Linked DNA regions of Macaca mulatta. The protein of the gene in region 3 binds, or shares a complex with, the protein of the main gene of each other region. Links are inferred from orthologs where the notes say so. Each region holds a gene or a part of one and is shown on either strand. Other genes may lie near its edges.

Evidence for each region. The genes of interacting proteins can lie anywhere in the genome.
Region 1: the proteins of NSMCE3 (region 3) and NSMCE1 are in contact, whole or in part, in a crystal structure (PDB 7DG2), measured with the Xenopus laevis proteins. The link is inferred for Macaca mulatta from reciprocal best matches to the Homo sapiens genes NSMCE3 and NSMCE1. Residues at the interface, in XP_018121157.1 of Xenopus laevis: Gly57, Glu58, Val60, Gln61, Tyr62, Leu64, Ile65, Lys66, Gln68, Lys69, Val82, Thr100, Gln102, Gln103, Val104, Phe105, Gly106, Phe107, Asn123, Leu125, Gln126, Arg127, Val128, Gly130, Asp131, Gly132, Met133, Arg134, Asp136, Glu137; in NP_001083134.1 of Xenopus laevis: Ile5, Glu7, Gln10, Arg11, Leu13, Gln14, Ala15, Met17, Ser18, His19, Leu30, His33, Leu37, His38, Leu54, His57, Leu58, Pro60, Leu61, Phe62, Met63, Val84, Asn86, Ile88, Thr89, Met91, Ala92, Ser93, Asp94, Gln149.
Region 2: NSMCE3 (region 3) and SMC5 share a complex: the UniProt entries of both Homo sapiens proteins name them as parts of the SMC5-SMC6 complex. The link is inferred for Macaca mulatta from reciprocal best matches to the Homo sapiens genes NSMCE3 and SMC5.

The regions. Positions count from the first base shown.
Region 1 is NC_133425.1:26,814,698-26,818,445, reverse strand, and holds the start of NSMCE1 (non-structural maintenance of chromosomes element 1 homolog), read left to right. Parts: upstream 1-1,256; 5' UTR 1,257-1,866; exon of another isoform or gene 1,867-1,953; intron 1,954-3,748. UniProt on the Homo sapiens protein: RING-type zinc finger-containing E3 ubiquitin ligase that assembles with melanoma antigen protein (MAGE) to catalyze the direct transfer of ubiquitin from E2 ubiquitin-conjugating enzyme to a specific substrate.
Region 2 is NC_133420.1:101,264,849-101,268,596, reverse strand, and holds the start of SMC5 (structural maintenance of chromosomes protein 5), read right to left. Parts: upstream 2,293-3,748; 5' UTR 2,190-2,292; coding exon 2,005-2,189; intron 1-2,004. UniProt on the Homo sapiens protein: Core component of the SMC5-SMC6 complex, a complex involved in repair of DNA double-strand breaks by homologous recombination.
Region 3 is NC_133412.1:9,161,411-9,164,778, forward strand, and holds NSMCE3 (non-structural maintenance of chromosomes element 3 homolog), read left to right. Parts: upstream 1-1,188; 5' UTR 1,189-1,282; coding exon 1,283-2,182; 3' UTR 2,183-2,790; downstream 2,791-3,368. UniProt on the Homo sapiens protein: Component of the SMC5-SMC6 complex, a complex involved in repair of DNA double-strand breaks by homologous recombination. The complex may promote sister chromatid homologous recombination by recruiting the SMC1-SMC3 cohesin complex to double-strand breaks.

The sequences.
Region 1 (3,748 bases), on a different chromosome or scaffold from region 3:
CCAGCTACTTGGGAGGCTGAGGCAGGAGAATGGCGTGTGCCCGGGAGGCGGAGCTTGCAGTGAGCCGAGATGGCGCCACTGCATTCCAGCCTGGGGGTCAGAGCGAGACTCCGTCTCAAAAAAAAAAAAAAAAAAAAAAGGTTGTCCAAGATCACAGGGGTGGTGAGTGACCAAGCCTGTATTTGAGTTATCCTCACAGAGACAGACATTTGCAGGTACCGCTGTTCTATATTAGTTACCTGTTTCCCTTGCTAGGCTGCATCCCTAGCTCTCAGACTAGGGATAGTATACAAACGTTTGGAAAATTAATGCCTTGAAGATTCAAAACAGTCTATTCACTTCCAAGAGTAATTTCACTTGCTTTCTCACAATCCCTAGGTAAGATAATAGTTAACATTTAATCAGCACTCCCATGTGACACTTTTCAGTGGCTATGCTAAGCACCTAAATCTCACCAACACTATTTTGCAAGGACTAATATCCCCATTTAATGGAAGAGGAAACTGAGGCTCAATGACTTGCCCAAGCTTCTGCCAACTAGTAAGTGGCAGAGCCAGGATTCTAGCTCAGGCTGTATGACCACAGAGTCCACATTTTTCTTTTGTTTTTTATGAGACTAAGTCTTGCTCTGTCACCCAGGCTCGAGTGCTGTGATGCGATCTGGCTTACTGCAACCTCTGCCTCTCGGGTTCAAGCAATTCTCCTGCCTCAGCCTCCCGAGTAGCTGGGATTACAGGCACACACCACCACGCCCAGCTAATTTTTGTACTTTTAGTAGTGACGGGGGTTTCACCATGTTGGCAAAGTTGGTCTCGAACTCCTGAACTCAAGTGATCGGCCCGCCTTGGTCTCCCAAAGTGCTGGGCCTACAGGCATGAGCCACCGCGCCCGGCCAGAGTCCACATTTTTGACGACGAGGCCACACTGTCAGTTCCACTGATGGGGAAACTGAGGCCCGGGGCAGGGCACTACATTGTGCCGGCGGAATCGTGGCCAGTGGGGGAAGCACGGGCTACGCGCCGATTCTTCCTCCTTGGTCAGGGAAGTCACTGAGGTGCAGGAGGCGGAGGGCGACAAGTGGAAGCCCCTTCCCATTATTAAGGATGGAGAGCGGCGCAGTAATTGGGATCTAACCCACGAGGCGGAAACACTAGGGAAACGGCGCAAACGGAAAACCGGAAGTGCGTCACCCAACGGACGGGCGAATCGTCTGCAGGCCACCAACGGGAACGCCGCGTTCGCGTTCGCCCCGCCCCAAAGGAAGAAGAGTCCGCCTTGCGACCGTATCCGCTAGCTCAGCGCGGGTTGCGCTTGGGCACCCTGGTGGGTAACGCGGCGCGCTAGGGGGTAGAGGGGAAAGAAGAGGGACTTCGAGGAAGGCGAGGGGAGGACGGAAGGTGGGGTGGGCGAGACAGGCAGTGGGGTCTGGCCCCGTGGTCTATCCTCGTGGGCTGTGGAACTCGGGGACGGGGGTCTTGGGGCTCCCCCTTCTTGATGGGGAAACTGAGGCCCAGAGAGGGGCCGCAGAAGGCAGCGGACTGGGATCTCCTCCCACAACACACACAAAGACATCTAAAAATCGTACTATTTAGTGAAAAATATTTTTAATCGTAATTACGATTTAACAGGTAAGGATACTTTTCATTGTAATAGGTGAAAAAGCAAAATATAAAATTCGATTCAAACTGTGATTACATCTATGGAAAACACAGCCTTCGCCGACCACCCTGTCTGTCCCGCCGCCCTCCGTGCTCCCCTCTGTTTTTGTGTACGGAGTTTCTCACTTTGTACAAGTCCGCAGCCGCTTGTGTTACAGCCCCGAGGCCAGATGCGTTTAAAATCGAGGATTTCTCGGACTTTGGAAAGGTAAAGTGCGTATGTTCTATGTTAGGTTTCACCCTCAGTGGGGGCTGGAGCAGCGGCTTGCAATCAAATACACGACCCTTTCCACAGCTAAAGATATGAAGATATGCATATATTATATTGACCGGGTCGCGGTGGCTCAGGCCTGTAATCCCAGCACTTTGGGAGGCTGAGGCGGGCGAATCACCTGAGGTCCGGAGTTCCAGACCAGCCTGGCTAACATGGTGAAACCCCGCCTGTACTAAAAATACAAAAAATTAGCCGGGCGTGGTGGCGCGTGCCTGTACTACCAGCTACTCGGGAGGCTGAGGCGGGAGGCTGAGGCAGGAGAATCACTTGAACGAGGGAGGCGAAGGTTGTAGTGAGTCAGGATCGCGCCACTTCACTCCAGTTGGGGCAACAAGAGCGAAACTCCGTCTGAAAAAAAAAAAAAGATATGCATATATTTACACTGTTGGGATAAATAACCATGGATAGCCTCACCTTAAGTCAGGTCAAGTTCTCCAACGTAAGAAACAAGTTTTGGTATTCAGACTTTTTTTTTCCCCTGCATCTGATCATCCACTAGTATTCATACCTTTTTAGATTTGAGGGTTGCAGATGAGGGACCTGGATTGTAGCTGTTCTGTTCACTCACTTTTCTCACTCTCACTGGATAAGAGAGTGTCTTTGAGAACAGGAACCGTGCTGTTGTATGGTCACGTCTCTCTCTGCCACCAACTCTTGTGTGTCACCTTGTGCCCTTTTAGTCTCAGTTTCCTCATCTGTAAGATGGGGTCAGTGATCCTTTGCTCATAAGGTGCTGGTTGGGGTTAAATGATGTCGTGCATGTGAAGCACAAGAATTGTGTTAGCACCTGCACGAATGGTATGACTGAGATTTACTTATTCCACAAACATTTATATTTCAAAATTATTAAATTTAAATAAATGTATTATTAAATGAATTAAATGCATTAATTAATTAAAAGTATAGATGTATTTCTTAAAATGTGGGTGATAGGAATGTTAAAGATTTATATAATGCTTCAAAGCCTTAGAAAAGGTTTTCTTTAGTTGGTTTATCTGTATATCTGAACTCTTGAAACTTAAAGCTAAAATACTAGGATTTATCTGCAGGGTTGCAGAGAGATAATTCTGCCTTAAATTGTCTAAAACAAAAACAAAACAAGACAATATGTTATACATGGGATTAAAACCAATTTTTCTCCCATTTTTTCTCCTTTTTTCTTTTGCTGCCCACATTGTGCCTTTATTTTATGAGCCCCATTTTTCTGGGCTTAGTTAAAAAAAAAATTCAATTCTAAACGTTGAATTTAGGGAGTTTTTGTTCTTAAATAAAAAGGCATAGACTTAAAAAAAATAAATGTTTATCCAGGAAAATATGTTGAAATCATGCTGCTGAGCCTCTATTTTCTTTGATGTTTTGGTTCGGTATTCTTTTATCATAAATTCTTAGCATTTAAAAATTTACTGATGTACATTTAAAGCCAATAAACTTTTAATTAATACAAATATATATATATATATATATATATATTTTTTTTTTTTTTTTTTGTGATGGAGTCTCACCCTGTCACCCAGGCTGGAGTGCAGTGGCGCGATCTTGGCTCACTGCAACCTCCAGCTCCTGGGTTCAAGCGATTCTCCTGCCTCAGCCTCCTGAGCAGCTGGGATTACAGGCGTGCACCACCATGCCTGGCTAATTTTTGTATAAAATAGAATTATTTAAGTAGGTGATACATGTATGTCTATGGCTAATCCCACCATTCTCTCCACAGTCTCTTCTCATAGAGACAAGGGATACAATATGCATAAACAAACTTATGGTTGTCTTTCTTCCACTCCTACTTTCCCGCCCCTTTTCCACCAAATCATAGCATTCA
Region 2 (3,748 bases), on a different chromosome or scaffold from region 3:
CATAAAACACATGTCATTCCCTGTTGAAAACACACCGTGGCTGCCTACAGGATGCTGCTGGAACTTCTTAGCATAGTAAACATACAGGTCTCTCAATGGTTGCTTACCCTGTCCAAATACTCACTCACATCCTATCCTCTTGCCTTACTAAAACACTTGACACTTTCTAAATATACCAAACTATTTCAGACAGTTCCTTCTGTCTTCAATGCTCTTCACTTCTTTTAAGACTTTCCTATCTTCTCAGGCGGGTGCAGTGGCTCACGCCTGTAATCCCAGCACTTTGGGAGGCCGAGGTGAGTTGCTTGAGCCCAGAAGTTCGAGACTTGCCTGGGCAACATGGTGACACCCCATCTCTACAAAAAATTTTTAAAACATTAGCCAGGTATGGTATGCGCCTATAGTCCCAGCTACCTGAAAGGCTGAGGTAGGAGGATCACTTGAGAAGGGGAGGTACAGGCTTCACTGAGCCCTGATCATGCCACTGAGCTCCAGCGTGGGCAACAGAGCAAGAACAAAGACTTTCATATCTTCTCTACAAAGCCCTTTCTCATACTCGTGGACAAAACTAACCACTTCATCCTTTGTGAAGGATCCTGATATATATGTTGTTATGGTATCTAACTCATTTGATTACATTTATCTTTCCTGATCTGGATTCAAATAGCAATGCAACTACTTAACAGCTGTGTAAAACTGGGCAAAACAACCTACTGAGCTTCTTTCAGCAATGGAAATTATCAAGATAGAGTTGTTATGAAGAAAGAATGAGTGCACTGTGTACCTGGCACACAACAGGTGCCTGAAAACAAAAAAGGTAGTATTGTTAAAATACAATTCTGTTATCCTTATGCCACTATGTGCAAGTTTAAAAAAGACTTCAGGCCGGACACGGTGGCTCACGCCTATAATCCCAGCACCATGGGGGCGTGCAGATCCCCTGAAGTCAAAAGTTCCAGATCAGCCTGGTCAGCATGGTGAAACCCCGTGTCTACTAAAAATACAACAACAACAACAAAAAAATTGCTGGGCGTGGTGGGGGGTGCCTGTAATCCCAGCTACTCGGTGAGGCAGGAGAATCGCTTGAAACTGGGAGGCGGAGGTTGCAGTGGGCCGAGATTGCGCCACTATCCTCCAGCCCGGACGACAGTATGAGATTCCGTCTCAAAAACAAAAATTAGCCGGGCGTGGTGGCGCGCACCTACAGTCCCAGCTACTCGGGAGGCTGACCCAGGAGCCTGAAACCGAGAGGCAGAAGTTGCAGCGGGCCGAGGTAGCGCCACAGCACTCCATCCACCGTGGGCGACAAGAGCGAAACTCCGTCTCAAAAAAAAAAAAAGACGACTTGGAACAGATTCACTGTGAGGTGCTAGGCAAATACATGATATATTTAAAACTTACTAAATTCTAAAGTGATAACTAGTTGTCTGAAGGAGAGAGGGAGGAACCAGGGAAGAAAGCTGGGTTTAGAGGGGTCAAGGGGTCAAGGGTCAAGATCCAACAATTGCCAGGAAGGTTTAATTTTTTTGTACTTGTAACCTCCCATCCCAAACAACCTTTACCGTCTTATCTACTCCTCTGTGGCAAATGCCTACCCTAAGAATCTGCCACAGCATCCCCACCACGCCGAATTAACTGTTGCCTCCTCGTAAATTCCCGGGGACAATACTTCTGTGAATTACAGACCAGGGCCGCTATGGATCGCGACTCCCAGCGGGCAGAGACCTACTCCCTCGTACAACTACTACCTGCTACAAGACGCTTTTGGAAAACCTTGGCGGACTAAATTTAAAAACCACATCACGTAAGGCACACATCTACATCATACACGTCAATCTCCACAGCCTTCGTAGAAAAATCCTCATGGGAACCCCGGCACGAATTCAAGGCCAGACCCACAAGCCAGGTACACACCCACACGCCCACGCCCGCGCGCAGCCGGCGCCCCGGGGCCTGCTGGACCGCACGCCTCCACACCCGCGGCGCGGCCTCCCGGCCACTCACAGGAAGTTCTCCATCGAGATACGGACGATAGAGCCCTCCACGAAAGGCCCGGACGACTGCACCAGCGGCAGCTGCGGGGCCGGATTCTTCCTCTTGCTCGGGACCTCCGACGAAGGGTCTCTCGGGAGAGCTCTCTTGGAAGCCTGGGGGCTTGGAGTTGACGTCTTCTTGCTTGGAGTCGCCATCCTGGCTTTCTCAGCGCCCCACAGCGACTTCCGTTCCCACCGTCCGGCAGCCCAGGCGCCCAAGCGCCCCAGCGCCCGGCTCCCGCGCGAACTGCCGCGAACTGCTCCCGCGCGCTCGCTCCCGCGATCTCGCGCCGCGCCTGCGCAGTTCAGATCCGGAGCGTCAGCGGGCCCACCCAGCGCCTCCTGCTCTCCGCCTCGCAGAACTAGGGCCCGACTAAGGGCGGAGCAGCAGACGGGACTGAGTGGGGACCTCGGGGGACGTGGCAACGGGAGTTTCTTCTCTGTATATTTCAGCATTCAGATCCTTTTTTTTTTTTTCCACTCAGGAAAAGATGTCAATTGCATTTAGTATTTTGAAAGCCACTTTATTGCTTCCCGAGCCTCAGTCATGTGTGGTGGGAGGCAGCTGTGGGGGGCACCAGGGGCGTCCAGGGCCGCCAAGGCCAGGGGTACGTTAGGCCCTGCTTGCTCCCACCCCTTCCAGGTGCCCGCCTGAGAGCTCCCGGGCACGCCCATCCTTGGCTCTTCGTCCTCTTGGTTTTCTTCCCCGTTGCTTCAAATCAGGTCCCTGTCTCAAAAACCCCGAAAAAGAAATACTCTCAAATAACTCTGCCCGACGCTCCGTGAAGGCATCGTGCTAGGCGTTCTCAAACTCGTGGAACGACTACACTGCACAGGTTATCCTCATTGCTTCTCTGCTCCTTGCCTCCTAATTCTCTGGTTAAACTTCCGCCCCCGAAGTTTCTAGAAATCCCTGAGCTAGAATGCGCAGCCTTCATTAACAGGGTGGTTCTGCTTCCGTCTGCTCACATTCATCTAGTAAGCCCTCGCATTAAAGAGGAGGCGGCGCACCGAGGCCTGCCTAGATCTTTCCTTCAACTAATAATGTCTAACCTACAAGAAACTGGAGCCGTGGCAGTTTAGAAGCCTGCCAAGGTTGCATCCCTGGGAACTTATTTTCTGTTGTGGGAGACAGGAAAAGAACAAGTGAATCAACTGAAATTAAAAAATTCCAACTTAAAGCTGTTGGAACTTGAAATTATTCAGAGCCTTGCGAAGAATGTGGCTACGGGGCCTGAGTCCTATGGCGTACAGCTGCAATGTCTGCCTTGTTTTTTCCTGTAAATAATCAGGAAGACCAAACAGAGACAGAGGTAAGACCCCCTCAGATCACTATCCCTCTTCATAGATTAATATAGTTATCCTCCTTGGAATGGAGATATCTATAACTAATCTAGTCGCTGTGTTTTATGCTTTGGTCTTGTATTGAAAATGTACTCCTGCTGAACCTTCTCTGCTTCTGCCTACGTAAATGAAACCTTAACTTCACTTTGGAACATTGACCTTATTTGTTTGGAGTTGGTGTTTCCAGGTGGCTGTCCTCAAGCTTTGCGTTAGAATAAACTCTACTTAATGTTATTTTATAAATTTCACTACTTAAGGTTGACACAACAAATGATTAGGATAATTTCAGACTGTGACAGGTGTTAGGAAGAAAACAAAATGAACCTGATGGGTGGGAGGTACGGAAGGTCTCTTAGAGGTGGTGATGTTTA
Region 3 (3,368 bases):
TAATGTGTTCTAAATTGCTTTCCTTTGAATATATTTGCATTAAAGAGGAACTCGATTTGGTTCTTTGAAGAGTTTATCCACTTTCTGGGTAGCTTTAAAAAGACACAGGGAAATTCAGTTTCTTCTTTGCAAGTCAATAAATAGAGAAGAAACAAATTTGCTAAGATCTATAGAAGTAATGGCAGCAGATTGCTGATGGTTTGAGTTAATGAAATGACTCATTTTGGCTACTTGAGTTGCACAATTAAAATATACATAGACTGCACACATCATAGATGAGGGATAAATACCCTTGTGTTCTCTTTTCTTTCTCAAAGCTAATATATTATGAATTAAGAAATTTAAGAGATCCACATTATTGCAATTCTTGATCAGTGATGCCCAAAATTAAGTGGTAATCTCTTGAGAGTGCACGTTTGCAGCATTCCTCTTACGCATTTCTGCTAAAATTGTGGCTGTGAGCCGAAGACAGTTGTTTTCCAAAGGATAAACTCATTTGACCAAGCTAAAACATTTACTTAATATTGACAAGTTTTGTGGGGTTTTCTCATAGTTGTCTAGCTAAAGGAGTTTAATGCAGAGAATACACATACGGAAATAGTGAAACCGAAGTCCTGCTTGCGCGGAAAGCCTGCAGCAGACTTTTGTTTTTAACAAACTCCACGGGGCATTAGAGAAAGTAACTGGGGGCAGTGGGTTGGAGGGTATAAAATTGAGCGGAGGGACGAAAACTAAGAGCCCTCTGGGTTTTTTATATCCTTCTACATGTTGTGTAGAAATAAATGCTTTTACTTCCACGGTCGTACCTTCCTCTTCACCTTTTTTTTTTCTTTCTCACACATTCATCCTGTGAGATCTTTTCATTTACAAATGCTCCCGATTTAGAATTAGAAACTCATAATACCGTCTGTAAAACTTGCCTGAGCCTGTCTGGTCCTGAATTTAGCGACACACTTGTTTAGGAGTTTCGGTTCTCGTTCTCTGCTTGCATGGTTTAGTAAGAACAACACTTCGATATACTGAAATTCACCGACCAGACCTGCAGGGCTGCACAGAAATATCTGATGCTTTTGGTACCCCCAGCCCCGCAGCCGCGCAGGCGCACCGCCCAGCCGCCGTGACGCAAGGCGCAGGCTTCATGACGCGGCACGCAGTCTCAGCCGACACTGCGCGCCCCTTCTGGGGCCCCGCCCAGGCAGCGGCCTTAGCGGGTCGCCGACCCACGATCCCAGCCGCGGCTGCTTGCTTGCCGGAGTGTGCACCGGTACGCGTCGCCGGTGACATGTTGCAAAAACCGAGGAACCGGGGTCGCTCTGGCGGCCAGGCCGAGAGGGACAGCGACTGGAGCCGTGGCGGAAACTCCGGGGCCTCGCGGGCGGGCGAACACGCCCGGGCCCGCAGAGACGGCTTCGCAGAGGAGGCCCCGAGCACTTCCCGGGGGCCGGGCGGCTCGCAGGGGTCGCAGGGCGCCCGCCGGTCCCAGGCCTCCCCCGCCGTGGGCCCCAGGACCCAGAAGCAGCAGGAGCTGAAAGTGTCCGAGCTGGTGCAGTTCTTACTGATTAAGGACCAGAAGAAGATTCCGATCAAGCGGGCCGACATACTGAAGCACGTCATCGGGGACTACAAGGACATCTTCCCCGACCTCCTCAAACGGGCCGCCGAGCGCCTCCAGTACGTCTTCGGTTATAAGCTGGTGGAACTTGAACCCAAGAGCAACACTTATATCCTCATCAACACCCTGGAGCCGGTGGAGGAGGATGCCGAGGTGAGGGGTGACCAAGGCACGCCCACTACGGGCCTCCTGATGATCGTCCTGGGGCTCATCTTTATGAAGGGCAACACCGTCAAGGAGACTGAAGTCTGGGACTTTCTGCGGCGCTTAGGGGTCTACCCCACCAAGAAGCATTTCATTTTCGGAGATCCAAAGAAACTCATTACCGAGGACTTTGTGCGACAACGTTACCTGGAATACCGGCGGATACCCCACACCGACCCCGTGGACTACGAGTTCCAGTGGGGCCCGCGAACCAACCTGGAAACCAGCAAGATGAAAGTTCTTAAGTTTGTGGCCAAAGTCCATAATCAAGACCCCAAGGACTGGCCAGCGCAGTACTGTGAGGCGTTGGCAGATGAGGAGAACAGGGCCAGACCTCAGCCCAGTGGCTCAGCCCCATCCTCTTGAAATCTGAGGTGGATTCAGAGGGACCCCCGGGACAAGGGTCTGAGACCCAAAGGCACAGTGCAGAGGAGCGGGGGAAGGGAGAACGAACCCAGGAAGCGTATTTCTGTAGCGTTTCAATGTGTGTAGCTTTAGGATGTGTTTGCAAAGTTTTGTTCTTTTAATGTTGTGTTATTTGGTTCCAGATTTTCATCTATAAACAAAAGAGCATTTGTTTTGCTTTGATTTTACTTTTTTTGGTATAAAAAATTTTCCTAGCTTAGTAAAACGAATTGGAAAACTTGACTATGATCTGAAACAGATATGCCAGAAGGAACACATAAGTAAGTTGCTTTGGTGCCAAGAAAATAAAAAAGTAGCTATTATCGGGTCTCTTAAGCATCCCAGTTTGTAAGGAAAAATAAAAGTCTTTATAAAATTAAAAATAAAAACGTAATTGCCTATATCCTTATTACCTTAACCTATTTTATTTTTTCTATATTTCCTACATATGTAAGTATTATTCATGGTTCCAAGCAATGAACGTGGTGTATTTTCTCCAAATAGCAATTGTTTATATTCATAATTACTCAGCTGTGTTGCTAAACATGCAGTTCCACTTAGTTTTTTTTACATGCTACTCTAGTTATTACAATAAATACTGTATTTTTGAAGCACTGAAGCATTGTGTGTGTTTTAAATCGTGGGCCATGAGACAATTTCATGACGAAATCAGCGTCTTAAAGTTTTTGCAACATATTGAGGTCAATGTTGTTTTGTAGAAGTTGTTTTACTTTTGTGTGTGTGTGTACAGGATCATGAGGTAAAATATATTTCTACTGTGGATACCAAAAAGGCTTATAAAACAATAGCGTAACCATTAACCATGCCTGCTTGGGAATCAGACTGCCTGGGTTCAGATCCTGGCCCCACCGTCACTAGTATAGGAATTTACGTAGGTTCCTTAGTTTGTATGCAGATGTTTCTTGACCTGTAAAATGGGTTTAGTCCCTGATGTGGAGGAATTTGCTTGTTATTCTTTAATGTTTTTATTTTTTATTCTCGGTCTGGAGCTGCCACTTTTTAAATACAACTTTTCTTTATCTTGTTTTCCAAATGATTCCTAGGAGAGCAATTACTGGTTCAAAAGGTATATTCCACTAGTCTGACTCTATTGTATGGGGAAATAAGTATAAAGTGTATGGTGAGT